Pelodiscus sinensis: one gene and its partners. The protein of the gene in region 3 interacts with the protein of the main gene of each other region in a biochemical or structural test. Links are inferred from orthologs where the notes say so. Each region holds a gene or a part of one and is shown on either strand. Other genes may lie near its edges.

What was found.
Region 1: of the proteins of CASP3 (region 3) and granzyme B-like, one has a biochemical effect on the other in vitro, tested with the Homo sapiens proteins (2 studies listed by BioGRID). The link is inferred for Pelodiscus sinensis from reciprocal best matches to the Homo sapiens genes CASP3 and GZMB.
Region 2: of the proteins of CASP3 (region 3) and HCLS1, one has a biochemical effect on the other in vitro, tested with the Homo sapiens proteins (2 studies listed by BioGRID). The link is inferred for Pelodiscus sinensis from reciprocal best matches to the Homo sapiens genes CASP3 and HCLS1.

The regions. Positions count from the first base shown.
Region 1 is NC_134740.1:2,433,301-2,440,533, reverse strand, and holds the start of granzyme B-like, read left to right. Parts: upstream 1-4,202; coding exon 4,203-4,266; intron 4,267-5,421; coding exon 5,422-5,569; intron 5,570-6,089; coding exon 6,090-6,225; intron 6,226-7,233. Other genes in the region: mast cell protease 1A-like, read left to right, coding at 1,359-1,619, 1,780-1,923. UniProt on the Homo sapiens protein: Abundant protease in the cytosolic granules of cytotoxic T-cells and NK-cells which activates caspase-independent pyroptosis when delivered into the target cell through the immunological synapse. It cleaves after Asp.
Region 2 is NW_027466023.1:268,046-275,484, reverse strand, and holds the start of HCLS1 (hematopoietic lineage cell-specific protein), read right to left. Parts: upstream 3,032-7,439; 5' UTR 2,876-3,031; intron 1-2,875. UniProt on the Homo sapiens protein: Substrate of the antigen receptor-coupled tyrosine kinase. Plays a role in antigen receptor signaling for both clonal expansion and deletion in lymphoid cells. May also be involved in the regulation of gene expression.
Region 3 is NC_134715.1:76,149,274-76,156,759, reverse strand, and holds the start of CASP3 (caspase-3), read left to right. Parts: upstream 1-4,425; 5' UTR 4,426-4,550; exon of another isoform or gene 4,551-4,554; intron 4,555-7,486. UniProt on the Homo sapiens protein: Thiol protease that acts as a major effector caspase involved in the execution phase of apoptosis. Following cleavage and activation by initiator caspases (CASP8, CASP9 and/or CASP10), mediates execution of apoptosis by catalyzing cleavage of many proteins.

The sequences.
Region 1 (7,233 bases), on a different chromosome or scaffold from region 3:
ACACTGCTGCAGGTACCACCCCATCCCATCCCCCACCCCCAGTGACCTCACACTGCTGCAGGTACCGCCCCCATCCCATCCCCCACCCCCAGTGACCTCACACTGCTGCAGGTACCGCCCCCATCCCATCCCCTCACTCCCAGTGACCTCACACTGCTGCAGGTACCACCCCATCCCATCCCTCTGCCCCCAGTGACCTCACACTGCTGCAGGTACCGCCCCCATCCCATCCCCCACCCACAGTGACCTCACACTGCTGCAGGTACCGCCCCCATCCCATCCCCCACCCCCAGTGACCTCACACTGCTGCAGGTACCGCCCCCATCCCATCCCCCACCCCCAGTGACCTCACACTGCTGCAGGTACCGCCCCATCCCATCCCCCACCCCCAGTGACCTCACACTGCTGCAGGTACCGCCCCATCCCATCCCCTCACTCCCAGTGACCTCACACTGCTGCAGGTACCACCCCATCCCATCCCCCACCCCAGTGACCTCACACTGCTGCAGGTACCGCCCCCATCCCATCCCCCACCCCCAGTGACCTCACACTGCTGCAGGTACCACCCCATCCCATCCCCCACCCCCAGTGACCTCACACTGCTGCAGGTACCGCCCCCATCCCATCCCCCACCCCCAGTGACCTCACACTGCTGCAGGTACCACCCCCATCACATCCCCCACCCCCAGTGACCTCACACTGCTGCAGGTACCACCCCATCCCATCCCCCACCCCAGTGACCTCACACTGCTGCAGGTACCGCCCCCATCCCATCCCCCACCCCCAGTGACCTCACACTGCTGCAGGTACCACCCCATCCCATCCCCCACCCCAGTGACCTCACACTGCTGCAGGTACCACCCCATCCCATCCCTCTGCCTCCAGTGACCTCACACTGCTGCAGGTACCGCCCCCATCCCATCCCCCACCCCCAGTGACCTCACACTGCTGCAGGTACCGCCCCCATCCCATCCCCTCACTCCCAGTGACCTCACACTGCTGCAGGTACCACCCCATCCCATCCCCCACCCCAGTGACCTCACACTGCTGCAGGTACCGCCCCCATCCCATCCCCCACCCCCAGTGACCTCACACTGCTGCAGGTACCACCCCATCCCATCCCCCACCCCCAGTGACCTCACACTGCTGCAGGTACCGCCCCATCCCATCCCCCACCCCCAGTGACCTCACACTGCTGCAGGTACCACCCCATCCCATCCCTCTGCCTCCAGTATGGTCTTTTACCCATCAGTGGCACAGAAACAAAATTCTTTGTTTTACTGGGAAGACATATATTTCTTTCATCTCTAGTGCAACCCTCATATTTATTTTCATCCTTCATCTTTGCTATGCCACAGCTGGAGAAGTCTGCAAAACTGAATAAATTTGTGAAGACCATCCCCCTGCCTGAAGCTGATGAAAGGGTGAAGCCCAGGACCGTGTGCAGTGTGGCCGGCTGGGGCCGCACCATCGCTAACGATAATTCATCTGCTGCCAACGCGCTGCGGGAGGTGGACGTGGAGGTGCTGGAGGATGACGAGTGCTCAGATGATGATGACTACGACCGGGCGACCATGCTGTGTGCGGGGCACCCAGAGAAGTGCAGAGATTCTGCAAAGGTAAATCTGCCCCTGGCTTGAATCTCTGAGGGAGCGTGTCAGTGATCGGGCTGCGACAAGAGGGCTTATGAGGGGCCAAGGAGGGGTTGGGGGGCATCAGGGCGTCATTAATCCAGTCAGCAGGGGGAAATGACTCACTGTGGCCCGGTTTGTTCTGCAGGGCGACTCCGGCAGCCCCCTGGTGTGCGGGGGTAAGGCCCAGGGCATCGTCTCCTGGGGGAACGACACACCTCCGGGCGTGTACACGAGAGTCCCTGCTTTCATCGGTTGGATCAACAATACAATGAGACTTCTGCAGCCCTGAGCCCTGCCAGGGGTCACTGCACAGCCTGGCTCTGCCTTTCTCCTGCCTTGGAGAGGCCAGGACGTCAGGCCTGCTCGGCAGAGGGGCTGACTGCCCCACAGCCCAGCCTGAGTTTCGTCCCTCTTGCAAGGCAAAGTCCCCTCCCCAAACCACTCTTCTGCTTTGGTAAGATCCAGGTTCAGGGCCGGGTTCTGCCCCTTGCCTAGGGAGCAGCTAGGTCATATTAGTGAGGGGCCAAACCCGGAGGTTGTTCTCCCTGGTGTGAGCCGGGCGAGTGACACTTGTGGGAGCTCCTCCCAGTAACATCCTGCTGGAACCGCCCCCGGCCCTGTTCTTTCTGGGCCTTCCCCACGTGCTGGCCCCCGTTCCGCACAGATTAGCCCCTTCTAAACACACCTGGGCCCGGAGGCAGCCAGGCTGGCGGGAGGGCGACTCCGGGATGTCTGCGCTGATCTGCTGCAGATCAAACATTGGTCGTGATCCTCTGCTGCCCAGTCCCCTGCCCGGCTGCATTTCGCTCAGCTCCCCTGCCCTACAGCTTGCTCCACAGCCAGCCAGTAATAAAGTCAAGTAGCAGAAGATGTCTCCTGACTGACGCATCCATCCAGAGCTTTGCAATGCAGGGCAGCTGCTGGACCTGCCCAGGCCAGGAGAGAATGCACCTTATGGGGAGGCCGGGCTGGTGGTTCACGCTCTTGGCTGGGCCCCAGCACACCTGGGTTCAGTGATTTCACACACAAGGTGGATCTGGGGTGGACACAAAGGTTACTCAGCGAAGAAAAGCTGCTTGTGCCATTGCTTGTCCTGACTCCCGAGACCGATGCATCTGGACCAGAAAGAGGAAGGGTCTGAAGCAATTCTAGATGCAAGAATCTAACCTTCCAATTCCTACCTACCCCTCTGCCTGTCCAAACCTCCGTCCCTAGATACCTAGCTACCTAATCTCAAGCTAAATATGTGTCTGACCAATTATCTGTCTGTCTAACTTCATAGAATCCCAGGGCTGGAAGAGACCTCAGGAGTCACCGAGTCCAGCCCCCTGCCCGAAGCAGGACCAGCCCAACTCAATCAGCCCAGCCAGGGCTTGGTCAAGATGGGACTTAAACACCTCTAGGGATGGAGATTCCACCCCCTCCCTAGGGAATCCATCCCAGCGCTTCCTCGACCACCCTAAGTTTTTCCTAATATTCCACCTAGACCTCCCCCACTGCAACGTGAACCCATTGCTCCTGGTTCTGCCACCCAGCCCCACTGAGAAGAGCCTCTCACCAGCCTCTTCGGAACCACCTGCAGGGAGTTGAAGGCTGCTCCCAAATCCCCTCTCGCTCTTCTCTTCTGCAGACTAAACAAACCCAAATCCCTCAGCCTCTCCTCGTAGGTCATGTGCTCCCACCCCCCAGTCATTTTGGTCGCCCCCCGCTGGACCCTCTCCAATGCGTCCACATCCTTTCCCAGAACTGGACACAATACTCCAGATGTGGCCTCCCCAGAGCTGAATAAAGGGGAATAATCACTTCTCTAGACCTGCTGGCAACGCTCCTCCTAATGCACCCCAATACGCCTTTAGCCTGCTTGGCAGATGCAGCATCTCTTTTCCCCAGCTCCATCATCTCCGCCTCCGCTGCTCTTTCATTGTACTGGTCTGACACAGCTCCCCACCCAAAGATTGTGGCTTCATCAGCCACCAGAGCAAAAGCAGGGCTGTTACTGCTGGGTTTCAGAGCAGGGACAGTTTGTGTGTGAGGTGAATAGCCCAGTCTGGTCACCATGGGCCGTATCAGCCGGAGGAATGGAACCCGAAAAATGTGGGGATCTCACACTTGCGGGAATTCTGCGCAGAATCCCTGTGCCCCGCATTGTTTGTTTTCCCTGCAGAAAACACATTTCTACCCAGGAAGAGCTGCAGTTTCACCTTCCGCCCACCAGGGCCTTTGTGGCACCAGAGCAGATGTGCCCAGCTGTGAACCAGTCCCACAGCAGCCCTGGACTCTGTTATATACAGCCCCATTGGGGTCTTCTCCCCACAGTGGTGCATCATCCAAGCAGTTCTGCACAGACCCCGATAGGAAGTAGCCAGCCTTCTGTGCATGACTGCAGGTGACGCTCGGCCTGTCCTTCCCCCGAGCGCATGTGGTCAGCTGTGGTTGGAAACTGAGACGTCTGAGCTCTCCATGTAGCTGAGCGTGTGAGCGGCCCTGAGGTTTCCTGCTCTTCGATCTCCCCCAAGCTGAGTCTATAAAGCCTGAGGCAGATGCACCGTCCCTGCACTGCTTCTCAACATGCAGATCCAGGTCTTGCTCCTGCTCTCCAGGGCCTTTCTCCTACTCTCTGGGGCTTGGGCAGGTGAGTACAGCTGAGATCGGGGGCCCCAGGACTTTGGGGTCAATTGAATGCTCACAGGGATTGATTTTTGGGGTGTTGCCTAGGGGCCTGAGAGTGACCGTCTCCCTATTTTCAGTCCCCCTGTGATTAATTTTATAGAAAGCGTGCCTTGTGAGGAATCACCTGAAAACTCATAATTTGCTGATCATTATTGTCCTGGATAAATAGCTGTGGTTGGTAAAGTGATAAGATTATACTGTCTGATGCCACTCGGCCATGTTTCAAGTCTAGGGAGCAGCCACAAACCAGTTCCCCGGAGACAAAAGACTGGCTGAGGCCTCAGATAGCTGGGAAGAAAATCAAATGTTTCAGTTGCTATTCTTGAGCAAGGAAGATGGAGTGGGTGAAAAATTGACATCCTGACAATAAAACAGTAGGGGTTCCCATCCACACAGACCTTCTTCCTCCTAAACTGCCATTGAAGATGGTTTCCAAAGAAGAGAAAGCTAGAAGAAGAGGGAGCAGACACCTGCAGTGATCTCTTCCTGTCTCTCTCCATGTGGCATGCACACCAAAAACACAAAGGAAGCAGCATTAGGTGGATGAGGGGCCGGTGGAGGGATCCTGATGGGAGGGAATTGAACCAGTAAAACGGTGGGAACAGGGATTGGAGAAACCTCACAAGGCAGCCATGTACGAACGTTAACACCATCCTGTAAAGGGATGAACATAAAAATGAAGATTACATCGGGGGAAAGTGTGTGTGGAGGGAGGGGGCTAATCCGGCAGCCTTAGCCAAAGCACATGTAATGCAGGAACAGGGAAGGCATCTCCAAGCTGCCCTAAGGGGAAGGTCCAGGTCCTAGTCCTCACCCCGAACCAGCCAATCCCCTTTAAGGGGCTGCCTGGCCTGATTAGAGGGGAGCTCGGACCCCAAAGCCAGTAACACCAGGCTGTTGGATGATGGACCCCCTGCAAGTGCGTTTGGCACTAGTTCTGCACCCAGCCAGGGCAGCCCTACGGGGTGTCTAGTGTGGGGCAGAGCTGAGAAGGGGGGCAGAACTCGGATCCACCAAGGGATCCACAGGGAACAGGATGACACTGGGGGGACTTGACCTGAGTATGGGCCGAGTGGTCAAGGATGGTGATGCTGGTACGGATCTGGTTTCCCCCCAGGTGAGATCATCGGGGGGCATGAAGCCAAGCCCCACTCCAGGCCCTACATGGCCTATCTGCAATCACAAGAAGGAGCCAATTACAGTGGCTGTGGCGGGTTCCTGGTGGCGGAGAACTTTGTGCTGACGGCCGCTCACTGCCAGGGAGAGTAAGTGCCTCTGGGCTGGGACATGGGGGCGGGTGGGGTCAGCGGGGGAGGGGAACCTGGAAATTCTGGTGCCAGCATGGGGGTCAGGGAAGGGACAGAGGGTGGCCAGGCTGGGGGAGCTGAGCCCAGGGGTCTGACCTGCTCAGGGGTGTCGACAAGTCTTTAGAGGGCTCTGCAACCCACTGCTCAGCCCCAGCGCTGGGTACATCAATGGGAATGTGGACAGGGAGCCCAGCTTGGGTCTGCTCCATTGCCCAGCATGGGGCAGGGAAGGGTCACAGCCTCAGGGCAGCTCTGTAGGGTGCTGGGCTGAGGGTCTGGGCATGGACCCCTTCCTGGATCGATCTGGGAGAGGAGACTAGACTGGGGGAGCTTTGACCACAAGTCTGAAGAGGAGGGAAGGAAACTGAGTCCCGGCCTGAGACCCACAGACTGCCCTGTCCCCGCAAGAGCGGAATTTAAACGCCAAAAACATGTCCTTCCCCTAACAATCCACACATGTCACTCTCGGCTTTCACAGCAGCATCACTGTCGTCCTGGGAGCCCACAACATCGAGCAACGGGAACCGAGCCAGCAAGTGATCCCCGTGCGCCGGCAGATCCCCCACCCACAGTACAACAGGGAGACTTTAAAAAATGACATCATGCTGCTGCAGGTACCGCCCCCATCCCATCCCCCACCCCCAGTGACCTCACACTGCCGCAGGTACCACCCCCATCCCATCCCCCACCCCCAGTGACCTCACACTGCTGCAGGTACCACCCCCATCCCATCCCCCACCCCCAGTGACCTCACACTGCTTCAGGTACCGCCCCCATCCCATCCCCCACCCCCAGTGACCTCACACTGCCGCAGGTACCACCCCCATCCCATCCCCCACCCCCAGTGACCTCACACTGCTGCAGGTACCACCCCCATCCCATCCCCCACCCCCAGTGACCTCACACTGCTGCAGGTACCGCCCCCATCCCACCCCCCACCCCCAGTGACCTCACACTGATGCAGGTACCACCCCATCCCATCCCCCACCCCCAGTGACCTCACACTGCTGCAGGTACCGCCCCCATCCCATCCCCCGCCCCCAGTGACCTCACACTGCTGCAGGTACCACCCCCATCCCATCCCCCACCCCCAGTGACCTCACACTGCTGCAGGTACCGCCCCCATCCCATCCCCCACCCCCAGTGACCTCACACTGCTGCAGGTACCATCCCATCCCCCACCCCCAGTGACCTCACACTGCTGCAGGTACTGCCCCATCCCTTCCCCCATCCCCAGTGACCTCACACTGCTGCAGGTACTGCCCCATCCCATCCCCCTCCCCCAGTGACCTCACACTGCTGCAGGTACCGCCCCCATCCCATCCCCCACCCCCAGTGACCTCACACTGCTGCAGGTACCGCCCCCATCCCATCCCCCACCCCCAGTGACCTCACACTGCTGCAGGTACCACCCCTCCCATCCCCCAACCCCAGTGACCTCACACTGCTGCAGGTACCACCCCCATCCCATCTCCCACCCCCAGTGACCTCACACTGCTGCAGGTACCTCCCCATCCCATCCCTCACCCCCCAGTGACCTCACACTGCTGCAGGTACCGCCCCATCCCATCCCTCACCCCCCAGTGACCTCACACTGCTGCAGGTACCTCCCCCATCCCATC
Region 2 (7,439 bases), on a different chromosome or scaffold from region 3:
CAATTGGAAATGATAGAGGAGGAGAAAGACCTCTGGGTATGTCTACACTACCACCCTAGTTCGAACTAGGGTGGTTAATGTAGGCAACCGGAGTTGCAAATGAAGCCTGGGATTTGAATTTCCTGGGCTTCATTTGCATATTGCCGGGCGCCGCCATTTTTAAATGTCCACTAGTTCGGACTCCGTGCCCGCGGCTACACGCAGCACGAACTAGGTAGTTCGGATTAGGCTTCCTATTCCAAACTACCGGTACACCTCGTTTAATAAGAACAAATGCAAAGTACTCCACTTAGGAAGGAACAATTTGTTTCGAGAATGGAAAGTGACTGTGTAGGAAGGAGTACTGCAGAAAGGGATGGAGGGGTCATAGTGGACCACAAGATAAATATGCGTCAACAATGTGACACTGTTGCAAAAAAAGCAAACATGATTCTGGGATGCATTAACAGGAGTATTGTGAGCAAGACACAAGAAGTGATTCGTCCGCTCTACTCTGTGCTGGTTAGGCCTCAGTTGGAGTATTGAGTCCAGTTTTGGGCACCACATTTCAAGAAAGATGTGGAGAAATTGGAGAAGGTCCAGAGAAGAGCTACAAAAATGATTAAAGGTCTAGAAAATATGAGCTATGAGGCAAGGCTGAAAGAATTGGATTTTAGTTTGGAAAGAGAAGACTGAGATGGGACATGATAGTAGTTTTCAGGTATCTAAAAGGGTGTCACAAGGTGCAGGTGGGGCGGGGGAGTGGGAGGGGAATTGTTCTCCTTGGCCTCTGATGGTAGGACAAGAAGCCATGGGTTTAAACTGCAGGTTGGACATTAGGAAAAATTTCCTAACTGTCAAGGAGGTTAAACACTGGAATAAATTGCCCAGGGAGGTTGTGGAATCTCCATCACTGGAGATATTCAAGAGCAGTTTAGACAGACAGCTATCAGCAATTATATAGACCAGGGCTACTCAACACATGGCCCGTGGGCCACATAGACCCGTGGCCTGTTTGTTTGCGGCCTGCGGGTGGGAGCCAAAACGAAAAAGTAGTCAATATAATGGTCTTCTGTTGAGATGCATTTTAGTAGTTAAATTCCTGCACTGTCATTGCTCATTGAAAGTGCTGTCATATGGGTGGAAATTGGGTAAATATTGCATTTTATTGATATCAGCAGAACTGACTTAAATGGGGCCTGTGTGTTGTGTAGTCTAGTTTAATGTTTGTATTCCAGGTCATTCACATGACTTCTCTATTTGTGCCTTTTGCTAATTATCTCTATTAGTTGGTGGCTACTGATTTTTTTTAACCAAAATGTGTTTGAGTTTCAAAAAAGAAGAAGTGACTGTGGTCAGGGCTACGCTCTCCAGCGCTGAGACAGGCTTTGTAACCATTTGCGCACAGGGAGGTCTGTGGCTAAACAGTTTGTATGTGCTGACAAGACAGGAAGCCCAGCTAGGCCCAGGAAGTGGGGAAGAGGAAGCTGAATGCTATTTCAATGTAAAATTAAAAAATTCTGCACTATATTTAAAGGAGACATTGCTTGTTTAGATACAAAATTGTTCAGACCACAAAACCTCCCCACAATATGGTCCCAGATGCCTAAGATCAGCCACCCGAGAGCCAGTATTTCACCTCAGAATGCGTTACCTGCATTTCTTGTTGCTGCTTGAAAAAAGAATCAACCTTTACATAAAACCGAGCAATAGAGAATGAAAGGCTCCAACAGGACTGTTGGGCCAGCAGCTCTCCTGCCTTGCACATGTCTTGTGCCATCCTCTGGCACAGATCAATCATCCCAAACAGGTGCATCTCAATATTATTTCCTGAGCCTGCACAGCTTCTCCCCGCCCCTCCACTCCTTGGCTACAGCTGACTGTTCCCTAGGACAGAGGACTGCCCTCTCATGCTGTTGCTCTGTGCCATCTCCTTCTGGCTCTTCCTCCGCCTCCTCATCTTCAGGTGTGGAACCAGGTATATGAAAAAAAATCAGACAAAGGCCACTAGCCACCAACCTGAACCTCTCCCCCTCCCCCACTGCCCAGCAGTGGCTGAGAAACCAGCAACCTGTGGGAGGCAAATGACTTAAATTAAAAATAGAGGTGGGAGTGGGAGGGTGACTGTACAAATGAACAAACCAGAGACTGTCCAGGTGTATTACTCTGAGCTTATAGCTGCCACATGAGACTTGGGGCAGAGACAGGAGTCTGAAGTGTGAGAGATCAGAGACAGACAAAACAGGGAGAATTTTTCTGTATGACCTGCACAAGGCGGCTCACATGTGAGCATTAAGGAACTAATGATGGGCTAACACAGGGCTCCTTGGCATGACTGTTTCTGCAGCCCAGCCAAAGCCTCAGCTCAGCATAGGGTATGCAAGATAAATCAGACTCCTGAAAGGAGTAGAGTTGTCTGTAAAGGCTGAAAGCCACAGGTTTAGCAAGAGGTCTTTTTAACCAGTTATAGCAGTCTGACTACCTTTATACTGACCTGCCAGGACCCATGCTAGAATGGTGAGTTTCTTTCCAAACCATTGCCTGTACACCCCCACAAGATGAGAATAGTCCCTACACTAAGACTGGGCAGCATCACAGTGACTTTAATTTGTAACTAGCCCTAATCGTCCACAAGCATAAACACCTGCTTGCATGCAGACCTGAAAATTGGTTAGCCTGATTCAGATGAGGCGTTTGTTGTTTGTACCCAGAAACATTACAACAGCTCCCAGAGAGCAAAGCCTGCATTTGGGGAGTAACTGCCAAGAGGTGCAGAGTAGCTTTTGGCCTTATCAGGGTAGAATTTCTCATGCCCATCTCTAGGTGTGCTAGCCATGGAACCTCAACATTTTTGGTAACTTGCCTTTGTAAATATTGCTTTTGCGCCGTCACTTACCTTAAAGGAGGTGCGTCACACTTGCTCCTTTCTGCCTGAGAACCTGGTTGCTGCGCACTGTGACAGTTCCTGTTTCAATGCAAGCTAACTGCACTTCCTGCAGCCTAGCCCTCTGCGCCGCGTCTGAGACGAGTAAGTCAGTGTCACAGACAGAGACTCCAGGAAGACACCGTGACACACAAAGCATTCTGGAGCCACAGACTCAACCCTATATTCTCTCAGGGTATGTCTACACAGCGAAGTTATTTCGAAATAACAGCCTTTATTTCTAAATACCTTTCTTAGCGTCTACACAGCCAAACTGCTACTTCGAAATAAATTTGAAATAGTGGAGCACTTATTTTGAATTTGGTAAACCTCATTCTACGAGGAATAACGTCAAATTCGAAATAGCTATTTCAAAATAAGTGCTGTGTAGACACTTATTTTGAAATAGGGGGCCTCCAGCCTTCCTAGGGTGCCCTGGTGGCCACTCCAGCCTCAACCAAGAACACTTTTCTCCCTCCCCCACTCTCCAGAGCCCTTAAAGGGGTTGACTCTGGCCACAGTGCCTGTGCCAGCTCCAAGCCAGCCAGCCTAGAGCCAGCAGTCACTGTCCCGACCCAGTGGCCCCAAAACATGAGCCAGCAAGCCACTGGCAGCCAGCCCTCCACTGCTCCCCAGGAGCAGACTGCTGGCTCCTAGGAGCCTGCCAGGGCCTGGAGAAGGTGGGCACCTTCCTGGTCCAGGGTGGAGATCATGGACCTTATTCAGGTTTGGGGGGATGCCCCCGATGTCCATGATCTCTGCACTAAACAGAGGAACATGGCCGTCTATGGCAGGATAGCTGCCAGCCTGGCCACCAAAGGCCACATGCGAACCCAGGAGCAGGTTAGTATGACAATCAAGTTGGTCCAACGAGACCCCCAACCCTGAGCCCTGAACTTCTCCTCCCCCTTCTTTCCCTTGCTTCCCCCTCCCACCTCCCAGGTTTCCCCTCCCCTCTCCCCCTCTCTGTTCTCCCCCCCCCCCCCGCTTCTTTTCCCCAGTCGCACTAGAGTTTCATTCCCTCCCACCCAGTTTTGTTAAATAAAGAGTTTGTGTTCATGAAAATACGTGTATTTTATTTGACATCAGGAAGGGAGGGTAGGGAGGGGTAAGGGGAAGGACGTGAGGGAAGATAATGGGCTGCAGAGAGAAGACATCGGTAACCTGCCCAGCTGGTTTCAGCCAGGGAGAACAATGGATGAAGAGAAGGGCCCAGGAGACCCTTTTTACCAAGACAGAAGACAATGAACTGGGGAGGGGCTGCTTTAGGGGAATATCGGAGGCTCAGCTGGAAGAAGAAGGTTTCTGAATGGGACAGTGACAGAACAGGTACAGCTCACCTGGTTACAAGGGAGACTCAGATGTGATAGGCTGAAGGCCCAGGCCTACAGGCCTGAGGGAGCCTTTGCTGCATTCACACCTCAATAAACCCTCCTGTGTTATACTGGTTGAGAGTTACTCTGGTCTGAAGAACAGGGTTGCACTATTCCTTCTGGGAGTGGAGGCTCCAGGGGTTCCCAGGGAGTAGAACCCCCAAGGGGGCTCATGGCAGAGACAGGCATGCTGAAAGGCGGAGGGGTGGATCCTCCAGGAGAGGGTGGACTCCCCGAGAAGGGGTTGTCACACTAGAGGAGGGGGGGAACCCACCCGGGGACCGACGGGCCAAGCGTGGGCTTGATCTGTGAGCTGTGACAGCGAGTGTCCCATTGGCTCAGCCATGAGTACATTCAGTGCACTCTCCTGGCTGACATAGCAGCAATAATGAAAGCCATTTTCAGGAATAAACAATACGTTGAACACTCATGGACAAACTTAAAAGACATAGATCACACTATTGGATGTACAGTTATATAAGCCTCTGATGTGGTGGCTTACGTGGTTAGGTCCTGTGATGATGCCCCTTATATAGACGTGTGGGAAGAGCTGGCATTGGAGTTTATTGCAGGGATGGGTTCCTGGGTAAGTATGTCTGAGGTGTGCTGAGTGGTTGCTGGAAAGAATGGTGTTTCAGGTTAGGAGGTTGTCTGGAGGCGAGGATTGGCCTGTTCCCCATCACACGACATAACCACATAAGTCACCACATCAGAGGCTCATACAAATGCCCATCCAGTAATGTGATCTATGCCATCAAGTGCCGGCAAATGCCCCTCTGCCATGTACATTGGCCAAACTGGACAGTCTCTATGAAAAAGGATTAATGGACACAAATCAGGTTTTCAAAATAGTAACAAACAGAAACCTGTTGGGGAACATTTTAACTTGCCCGGGTACTCTCTAATGGCTCTAAAGGTGAGTATACAATTTCAAACATCAGCTGGAGAGAGAAACTGCAGAACTTGCCTTCATATGCAAATTTGACACATTTGACAATGGTCTGAACAAACTTTAACTGGATGGGCTGTTATATTCAACACCCAAATGACATCAAAAGCTAAGTGTCAAGCACTTACAGCCCACACTATTAGCCTCATTTAGCACAGACACCCTAATTGACAAGATTTCCCCCCCCCCCCATCTCCTCTTTTTCTGCTATTTATTTGTACCTCTGGACCCCTTGCTCTATTCATCTGAAGAAGCGGGTTGTACCCATGAACGCTCATGATACCATCTACATTTTTTGTTAGTCTCTAAGATGCTGCAGGATCGTTTGTTTTAAAAAAAAAATTTGTTACAGACTAACATGGCTACTCCTCTGAGGCTGCGTCTAGACTGGCATGATTTTGCGCAAAAGTGGTTGCTTTTGCGCAAAATCTTGCAGCCTGTCTACATTGGCCGCAAGTATTTGCGCAAGAACCCTGACTTCGTAATGTACAAAATGAGTGGTTCTTGCACAAATACTCTGATGCTCCCACTCAGGGATAAGCCCTCTTGCACAAGTATTCATGTGCAAGAGGGCCAGTGTAGACAGCAACGTTAATTTCTTGCTCAAGAAAGTCCGATGGCTAAAATGGCCACTGGAGCTTTCTTGTGCAAGAGAGCGTCTATACTGGCACAGATGCTTTTGCGCAAAAGCAAATCTTTTGCGCAAAGGCACATGCCAGTATAGATGCTCTCTTGCGAAAATAGTTTTAACAGAAAAACGTTTCCGTTAAAAGTATTTGCGCAAAATCATGCCAGTCTAGACGCAGCCTGAGACTTTTACTCATGGACAAGTTCAAACAGCGATTTTACCAATATGGTTAAGATAAAATTGAAGGGACAGGGTCGCTAATAGGAGGATGCACATATCACAGACCTTTCAGAAACTTTTAAACTGAAGCTTGAACAAGCAGCACTCTGCAATCCACTGAGCCTGATATGCAAAGGCAAAACATTTGTTCTCAGCTTTTCCAGGCAACTGTAACTCTTCCACAGGCCAATTTGTCTTTGTTCCCCAAGTTTTGCCTCACTTAAAAACAACTTGCTTACAAAAATCAGACATCAAAATATCAAAGTATTGATGTGCTATTACTGAAAAAATTGCTTACATTCTCATTTTTCATATAATTATAAAATAAAATCAATTAATATATACATATTGTACTTATATTTTAATGTGATACTAAAGCCTGTTTTTAACTTGTGAGCGCTGTCATTTAGTATCTGGAGAGCAATGGCTGCTGGCCATGAAGTTCATGTTGTTTGCGGAGCAGGACAATTTTTTTTAATCCCTCTCCTGTCCCACAGTATCCACGCCCTCCCCCTGCACTGTTGTTGAATTTTTTTATTTAGCGTCCACTATTATAGCATTGGGTCCTCTAGTGCTGATGGGAGCCCAGTCCCATTGGAGGATTTTATGGCCTGTTCTAATACTAGGCAAATCTCTAAGGATATGGCTACATAGCAGGACTAAATCCAAAATAAGCTACACAACTTGAGCTATGTCAATTGCATAGCTTAAGTCAAAAAAGCTTATTTTGGCTTTTGGCACTGTCTACACAGCAGGAAGTCCGAGTTAGAGGCACTTTTCCTCTGACTTTCGTTATTCTTAGTAAAAGGAGGGTTAGAGGATTCAGAGTAAGAACTCCTCCAGCTTGCCATTATTTTGACATTATGTTGAAGCTGCTGTGTGCTGTGTAAATGCAGACTATGTTATTTTGTAATAGTCACTATTTCGAAATAATGCTGCTGTGTAGACATAGCCTAGATGAGTTGATGTATCCTCTGGAAAACCTTTGCGTACCCTCATGGTTGAGAATCACTGATCTGAATCATAGAATCATAGAACTGGAAGGGACCTCGAGAGGTCATCGAGTCCAGCCCCCCGCCCTCAAGGCAGGACCAAGCTCCGTCTACACCATCCCTGACAGATGTCTATCTAACCTGTTCTTAAATATCTCCAGAGAGGGAGATTCCACCACCTCCCTTGGCAATTTATTCCAATATTTGACCACCCTGACAGTTAGGAATTTTTCCTAATGTCCAATCTAACCATCCCTTGCTGCACTTTAAGCCCATTATTCCTTGTCCTGTCCTCAGAAACCAAGAGGAACAAATTTTCTCCTTCCTCCTTGTGACACCCTTTTAGATATGTGAAAACCGCTATCATGTCCCCCCT
Region 3 (7,486 bases):
AATCCACAGGACAGATGAGGTTCACCAGGGTTAGCCTCTGGAGGATTGCCAGATGTTTTTTTTTTACTCACACATCCACATGTTCAGTCACTTGCAGCTCCTATTGTCCACAGTTGACAGAAAGGGAGTGGGAGAAGAGCAGAGGGTGCTTAAAAGTAGCAGCGCTGTTTGAAGCCTAGGGCCAGAACCTGGGCTCCACACAGCACTGCCCCTTTGAAATGCTGCATGAAGCCTGGGGCCAGCTAGGGTGGCCCCAGGCTGCATGTGGCATTTCAAAGTGTGTGGGAGTCCCCAGCTGACCCTGAACTCCATACAGCACTTTCACCTTTGAAGTGTAGCAACAGCCCTAGAGGGATTTATTAGCACAGATATAACCAAAGAGGCTGATGCTAAAGAGACCTATAGAATAGAACATTGATCTGTTACTGAAAAGAGTTCTCAGCAACATATCCCTGAACCTCATTACACTGGAGAATCATGTGTTTAAAATATTAGTACTGGACTATGGGTGAATGCCACATTAGAGCTCACTACATCCAGCTCATCAATCCTATTTCACTTAGATTTATCCCCATGTCTTAACCTATGTCTTTACAGCCTGTTCCCGTGTTACAAATGGTCGATTTACGACCGTTTGTACTTACGACCAAACCTCCCATTAAGCAGTCATAAAGGCGGTCCCCAAGTTTCGAACAGCACGGTTGCATGTAAATGAATGGGGTCCAACTTATGAACACTTCACCTTATGACCAAGTGTTTGGTCTGTAACTTGTTGGTAAGTTGGGGGACCAGCTGTACTGACAATTGAGCACCAAAACTTTTGTCATTCAGTGGTCCTAACCTCTCCTCCCCCTCCCAAAAGACAAAAGTTTTGCTGCAGCAAGCGTCAGTGTGAACAGTATCAGCAGGAGAACTCTTCTGTCAACAATGTGAACACTGCTCATTGGGGGTACCTTGTCAGCAAAAGTGCCAACAATCAGTGACTATACTGCCTGACTTTTAGTGACAGAGCTATGCCACTGAAGGCTGTGTAGCATAGACAAAGCCTTACACTTGCATTTTATGGTAAAGAAAGAAACACACTGCCACCAGGGAAATTCTCATAGCTCCCAGAAGAACTGATTAATGCAGTGGATTGTGATAGGAGTGACTGGTCCACTGTGTGAAGCAGAAGGGGAAGACTAACTGTACTATGACGTTGGTTCTGGATATCCAACACGCCAGTCATCTGAAGAAGTGGGCTGTGCCCACGAAAGCTCATGATACCATCTACATGTTTTGTTAGTCTTTAAAGTGCTACTAGACTGTTTGTTGTTTTTTAAGTTTGTACCATGATAGTGTTGTAAAGTTAGATCCTGTCAGAATTTGCTACTGGTAACACAATGACATACCACATGGTCTGTCAGAATTTGCTAACCATCACTAAGGCTAAGATTTTATCATTGTTAATTTTACTAAAAGTGACAAGCAAAATACAAAAATTCAGAGAGCTGTGACACTCAAAAATAATCTGGGGGCAGGGCTAGGTAAGGGGGAGGAATGGAGTCCCAGGGGAGAAAAGGGGGACTGACAGGCCGAGAACCCTGCCATGAGCCTCATTTCACTCAAGCACCATATATTTAAAGATTTAGCCCCGACTCCAGCAGCTGCAGGACATGGATGAGTAGCCCAGGTAGCAGTCGTCCCCCTCCCCAAACCTCAGCCACAGCTAGGAACACGTGGAGGGGGGAGAGAGGTAAAAATTAGTGGGCTGCCACAGGTGCATACTACCCCCATTTTCCTAGTGCAGCCCTTGACAAATGCCAGACTGAAGGACATGGCCCAAGCTGCAGTCCCCAATTAGAGCCACAAGTTGGGCTGCAGGGTCCTGGTTCCAGCCAGCCCTAGCTGCAGGGCAGGGGCACACAATCCCATCTCCACTTCCTGTAGCCCTATAATTTATACAAATAAAGATGCTGTGGCTTTACTTGGACTGCCATGACCTCTTCAAATAAATTGAAGCCTCACTCATCATCCTTGTCCATTTGATTGTCAGGGTACCTATCAGTATTTGATTACTGGCCAGGAAATAAGGATAGCAAGTTCTGTTAGATGACTGTCACAATTTTTCTACCCTTTCCCCTCTTTCTCCGTTCTTGTCCTCAGTAGTAACTTTAACAGAGGTAGAGATCCCTGTCAGATATCCCACTTACCTTTCTGCCTCCTCTAGACCTTTAGATGGCAGTTTATCCTCCAGTACTCACAATAGCTACTAGAAACGGTGCAGTAGCATAGCTGCATTTGTAAGAAAACACGAGGCAGGTTTACAAGACCGTGCCATTGTTTACATGGAGTCTCAGATTTGAATTCCAGTATTTATCAACTTGCCATACAACTGCCATTAACTGGGTTCAATGTCACTGTATTAAATGATTGAAGGATTAAGTAGGCACATATTGGCAGAGTTGTCACTGATATATGAAGAGAGAGATACATGTGTACATTTAGAGATCAATCATGCTTTGATTACCAAATTCTATAGGCTGTCAATAAAGATAGCAAGAAGAGAACCTTGTGTATGGGGGCTATTAGCAGGCTGCTGGCATAGAATACAGTAACCTCCAGAACTTAGTGAGGAATGGTGAAGGTCATGTCTCAAGAAACTCACAAGGAAGGGAAAAGAGGCGGTGACATTTTCAAGTCAGGGTGGTTAGTATGGAATAGGCTTAGTTTTTAATTTTACACCAAGGCTGCGTCTAGACTGGCAAGTTTTTCCACAAAAGCAGCCACTTTTGCGCAAAAGCTTGCCAGTTGGCTACACTGGCTTCTTGATTTTGCGCAAAAACACTGACGTTCTACTGTCTGAAATCAGTGCTTCTTGCGCAAATGCTTTGACGTTCCCGTTCAGGCAAAAGCCCTTTTCCGGAAATGTTTTTGTGCATGAGGGCCAGTGTAGACAGCTAAAAACTGTTTTGCGCAAAAAAGCCCCGTTGGCAAAAATGGCGATCGGGGCTTTCTTGCGCAAAACCGTGTCTAGATTGGCACGGACGCTTTTCCACAGAAAGTGCTTTTGCGGAAAAGCGTCCGTGCCAATTTAGATGCTCTTTTCCGCAAATGCTTTTAATGGAAAAACTTTTCCGTTAAAAGCATTTGCGGAAAATCATGCCAGTCTAGACGTAGCCCAGATGTAGGTACCTTCTGTTTGCTATATACCCAGACCACTGTTCCCTCTAAGCCACTGGTGGGCAACCTCCAGCACAGATGTGATAAATTGAGGTTATATGGGTAGCCTACAAGACATTTTGTTTACCACCGTTCATGCAGAGGATTGCTAGATGCTGCTAGCTTCCATTCACAGTGTTTTTTCCTACCGGTATTACTAATGTGACACAGGAAGTGAGGTGTGTGCTCATTTCACTCAACATTGACCGTAAAAACAGTGTGGTCCATCTGCATTCAAAGTGCTGCTGTGATTCAAACAGTACCTGCTGCAAATTCTAGGTATGCAAGCGGAGTTGGCAAAACTACCCTAACCCAGGAGACAGTGTTTGTAACAACCTTATGGCCCAGTAAGATGAAGGAGGGCTACACACACGATGCATTCACTAGCCTAGGTGAGTCTGTCTCCATTGCTGTGCTAAGCCATGCACTCAGGTGGCCACCCAGGAGAAATTCAAATATCACCCAGCTAATTAGCAGAGTGCCCACAGCTGACAGCATGTGCTTCTTCTGGTGGCACTCATCTGCACATGCCTCTGTATAGATAACAAAAAGTTTATTCTGTAGACAAGTGGGAAAAGTGAAGGGAACATTGCCTCTGACCTAAATCCTAGTTTCACAAGAGCAAAAACAGATGTAGTCCACTGTAAGTGTGGTTTCCAGGGAACAGGGTACTACTGAGGCCATCAGAGCACCAACTAAAATAAATTTTCTGAGCTGCTATTAAGCTGTGCGTGTTTCCCTTGGGTAAACTGACAAGGAATTAATGTCACGTCAAAGATAGGTTTGATACTCCTGGAGAGCCTTCAGAGGACGGGTGTGAAATATTTCACTAAAGCCAGTCTCCTCCCCTGGCAGCGCAGCAATTCAACTTTGAAAATAAAAAGCTGCAGAGCCTACTCTGCAGCGTGGAGAGCACAGCTGGCGGGAGGCGGCGCAGGGCTTCCCTTTCTCTACCCCCCCCCCCCAACCCAACCCCAACAGCCCGCGCTCTGCGCGGGGTCACTTCCGCGGCTCCGGTCTGGCCACTTGTCTCCCCCTTTCATAGCCCCACCCCGGCTCTGATTTCGGCGCCTATTTCCCTCCCCACCCGCACAAGGGCTGCCCGCCTCGCCCTGCGACCAGCCCCCGCTCCCCCTTCACAGCGCGAGCCCGACTCACCTGGGGGTGCGGGGAGAGACACGCTCGCCAGCTCAGCGCGCCCTGGCCGCCCTTTGAAACAGCCGCCGCCCCGCGCCCCCTCCCCCAGCTGGGCGGGGCCGGGGCGGAGCTGAGCGCGCAGTTGAGTCCAACCGACACCCGCCCGCAGCGCGCGTGCGTCTGGATCCGAGGGGAAGCGGCAGCCGGCGGAGGCAGGTCGGCGGCCGTGTGGGGCGCGGGGCGGCGGGCAGCGATCGAGCGGGGGGGTCCCCGTGCCGGGGGCGGGCGCGTTGCCGGAGCCTGGCTGCTCGCATGGCGGCGCGGCCCCGCTTGGCCCGGGCAGTTCCTGCCCCGCCGCCTTGGGGCGAACAAAGAGCAGGGGCGGCGCCGCTCCCCAGGGCGGGCTCGGAGCGAGCCCGGGACTCCGCGGCCCGCTCAGAAAAGGGGCCTCGGCTCGTCCTCGCCGCCTCGCCCCCGTGCGTGGGAGCAATAGACAATCCGGGGTCACTGCCCCGAGGCATCTGCCCCCCCTCTCCTCGCGCGCGCCTTTCCCCAGCCCCCCGCCCCCGCCCCCCCCCCCGCCGCGGAAATGCGGCCGCTTCTGGGGTGCGAAGTGTCCTGTGCCTGTGCAGAGCGAGAGGATGCGCTAACGGGGTGCGCTTGGGCCAGTCACCTCCCGCGAAAAAATTAGTCAGTTATTTCTGTGCGAGGCACTAGCCCGGGAGCTCCTTTCAGTTTAGCTTATTTCATGTGGGCTGGTTCTGAAATAATTCCAGGAAATTTCCAAATGTAGACAAGCCCGGACCCATACTGCATTACAGTGTCAAAGATGAGAGTAAGGAACAGTAAAAGTTAATATATGGATGTAATAGGAATTAAAGAATATAATGTTTATAATATAATGCAAGAGGCTTTCCTTTTCCTCTTATCTGCAACTAGAGTCACAGGCTGTGTCTAGACTGGCAAGTTTTTCCAGCAACTTGCCAGCTGTCTACACTGGCCACTTGAATTTCCGCAAGAACACTGACGATCTCATATAAGAAAACAGTGCTTCTTGCGGAAATACTATGCTGCTCCTGTTTGGGCAAAAGTCCTTTTGTGCAAAAGGGCCAGTGTAGACAGCTGAGATTAGTTTTGCACAGAAAAGCCCTGATTGTGAAAATGGCGATTGGGGCTTTTTTGCGCAAAAGCACGTCTAGATTGGCACGGACGCTTTTCCGCAAAAAGTGCTTTAGCAGAAAAGCGTCCGTGCCAATCTAGACGCTCTTTTCCACAAATGCTTTTAATGGAAAACTTTTCCGTTAAAAGCATTTGCGGAAAATCATGCCAGTCTAGACGTAGCCACAGTGTTTCTCAACCTTTTTTTATAAAATACCCCCCTTTAAAAATATATATAAGTACCCCCAGTACCTACAGTTTTCAGAGACACACGCTTTTTTTCTACAATTGTAACATATTTGTTTAAACAACTTAATCGTAGCCAGGCGGGTGATTAAATTTTTGATTGTAAAAAGTACAAAAATAATAAAATGCTGTAAAACTTAAAACAAAAATTCATTTTTCTCCAAATTTCAGTTGTGTTGATGTACCCCCCAGACTTCTCTCCCACTGAAGGTACTCATACTGGTTGAGAAACACTGGACTAGTCCAACCGTTTTCAGTTTTCTAGTGTTCGTTTCTGTCTTTCCTATTCCTTCACAGTGCTGTAGGAAAATGTTGAAATCTAAGTGACTAATTGAATTGACTTTAAGGTTTTGTTTGGAAATAGTAATGATAAATTAAACTAAAGGTCTAATATTTCTGGTGTTTTACTGTCCACATATAGCAGTGGTTTTCAAACTTTTTGGCTTGTGGCCCACTTAGGTCAATGCAAACCTTTCCATGGATCACCAATTGCTAATGGAAACTCGTTAATTACACACAAGTCATTTTGCTAGTGCTGAAGCTAGGGAGAATTGTTTAATTTAACCAGTAAGAAAGGAAATATTAATTTAAATTATTAAACAGATTAAGCACTTGAACTTTATCATGGTAGTTTACCAAACGTCATTTTAAATAAAGTTAAATATTAATTTATGTCCAACACAAAAGGTTCCCATGTTTACTTTATGGCAGGGGTAGGAAACCTTTTTTGTATTGATTGTCACCGGCCCACAGAAAAATCAGTTGGGGACCACACAAGTGAGTAGAAAAAAAAACCCTCAAAAAATCCCCCAACCCTCACTGATGTGGCCCCCAACTGAGATACTTCATTCCTCTGGTGCTCCAGCCCCATTGGGGAAGGGGGAGGGCCAGGGAGGACTGAATGTTCAGTGCTTCCCAGAGACCAGATTTGCTCTTTTGAGGTTCCAGAGTTAGTGGATTTTGTGGACCCTCCCCCCAGGCTCTGGGGTTGGGCCAAAAAATGAGGGGTTCAGTGTATGGGACAGCTGCCAGTGAGAGGAATTGGGGGTGTAGGATCTGGGTGGGAGGTGAGGTGCAGGAGGTGGTGAGGGTTTGAGGTCTGGATGGTAGGTAGTGTGCAGGAGCAGGCTTGGGAATAGGGTGTCTAGCCAGGGGTTGGGAGCAAGTGCAAGGGAAGATGCATTGTGTGGCCTACAGAAGTTAAAATTAGATTAATGAACTAATCCAGGGGTGGCCAACCCGTGGTTCTTCAAAGGAAAAATTACTGTTCCTGCACACGCAGCTCTTAAAGAGGCAGCATTTTTGTTTGGTTGGTTTGTGGGTTTTTTGTTTTTTGTTGGTTTTTTTGCTCAACTTTCCGGCCGACGGAAGCTTGGGTCACACATGGCTGGTAAAGAGGCAGCTTTTTTTGTTTGTTTGTTTGTTTGTTTTGCTCAGCAACTTCTTTCCCTTTGCTCTTTCCATTGTATCCACCACTGTTTTGGCTCTTTGTCTGTAATGGGGTTGGCCACCCTGAACTAATCAATTACTCAATTGGATTTCCATCAACTATTCGATTAGTTGATAAGGGCACCTCTGCCATTGAACTGTAGCAAGAATCCTGCCTTTTGTTACAGTTCAAAAGTGAAAACCCCACAGAGCTCTTGTATGTTTCAAAAGTAGAAGCCCCACAGGGAGCCTGGAGCCAACAAGCTCCTCTCCCCTCTCTCTACTAACATATAGTAATACTAAATTACAGTGTAGG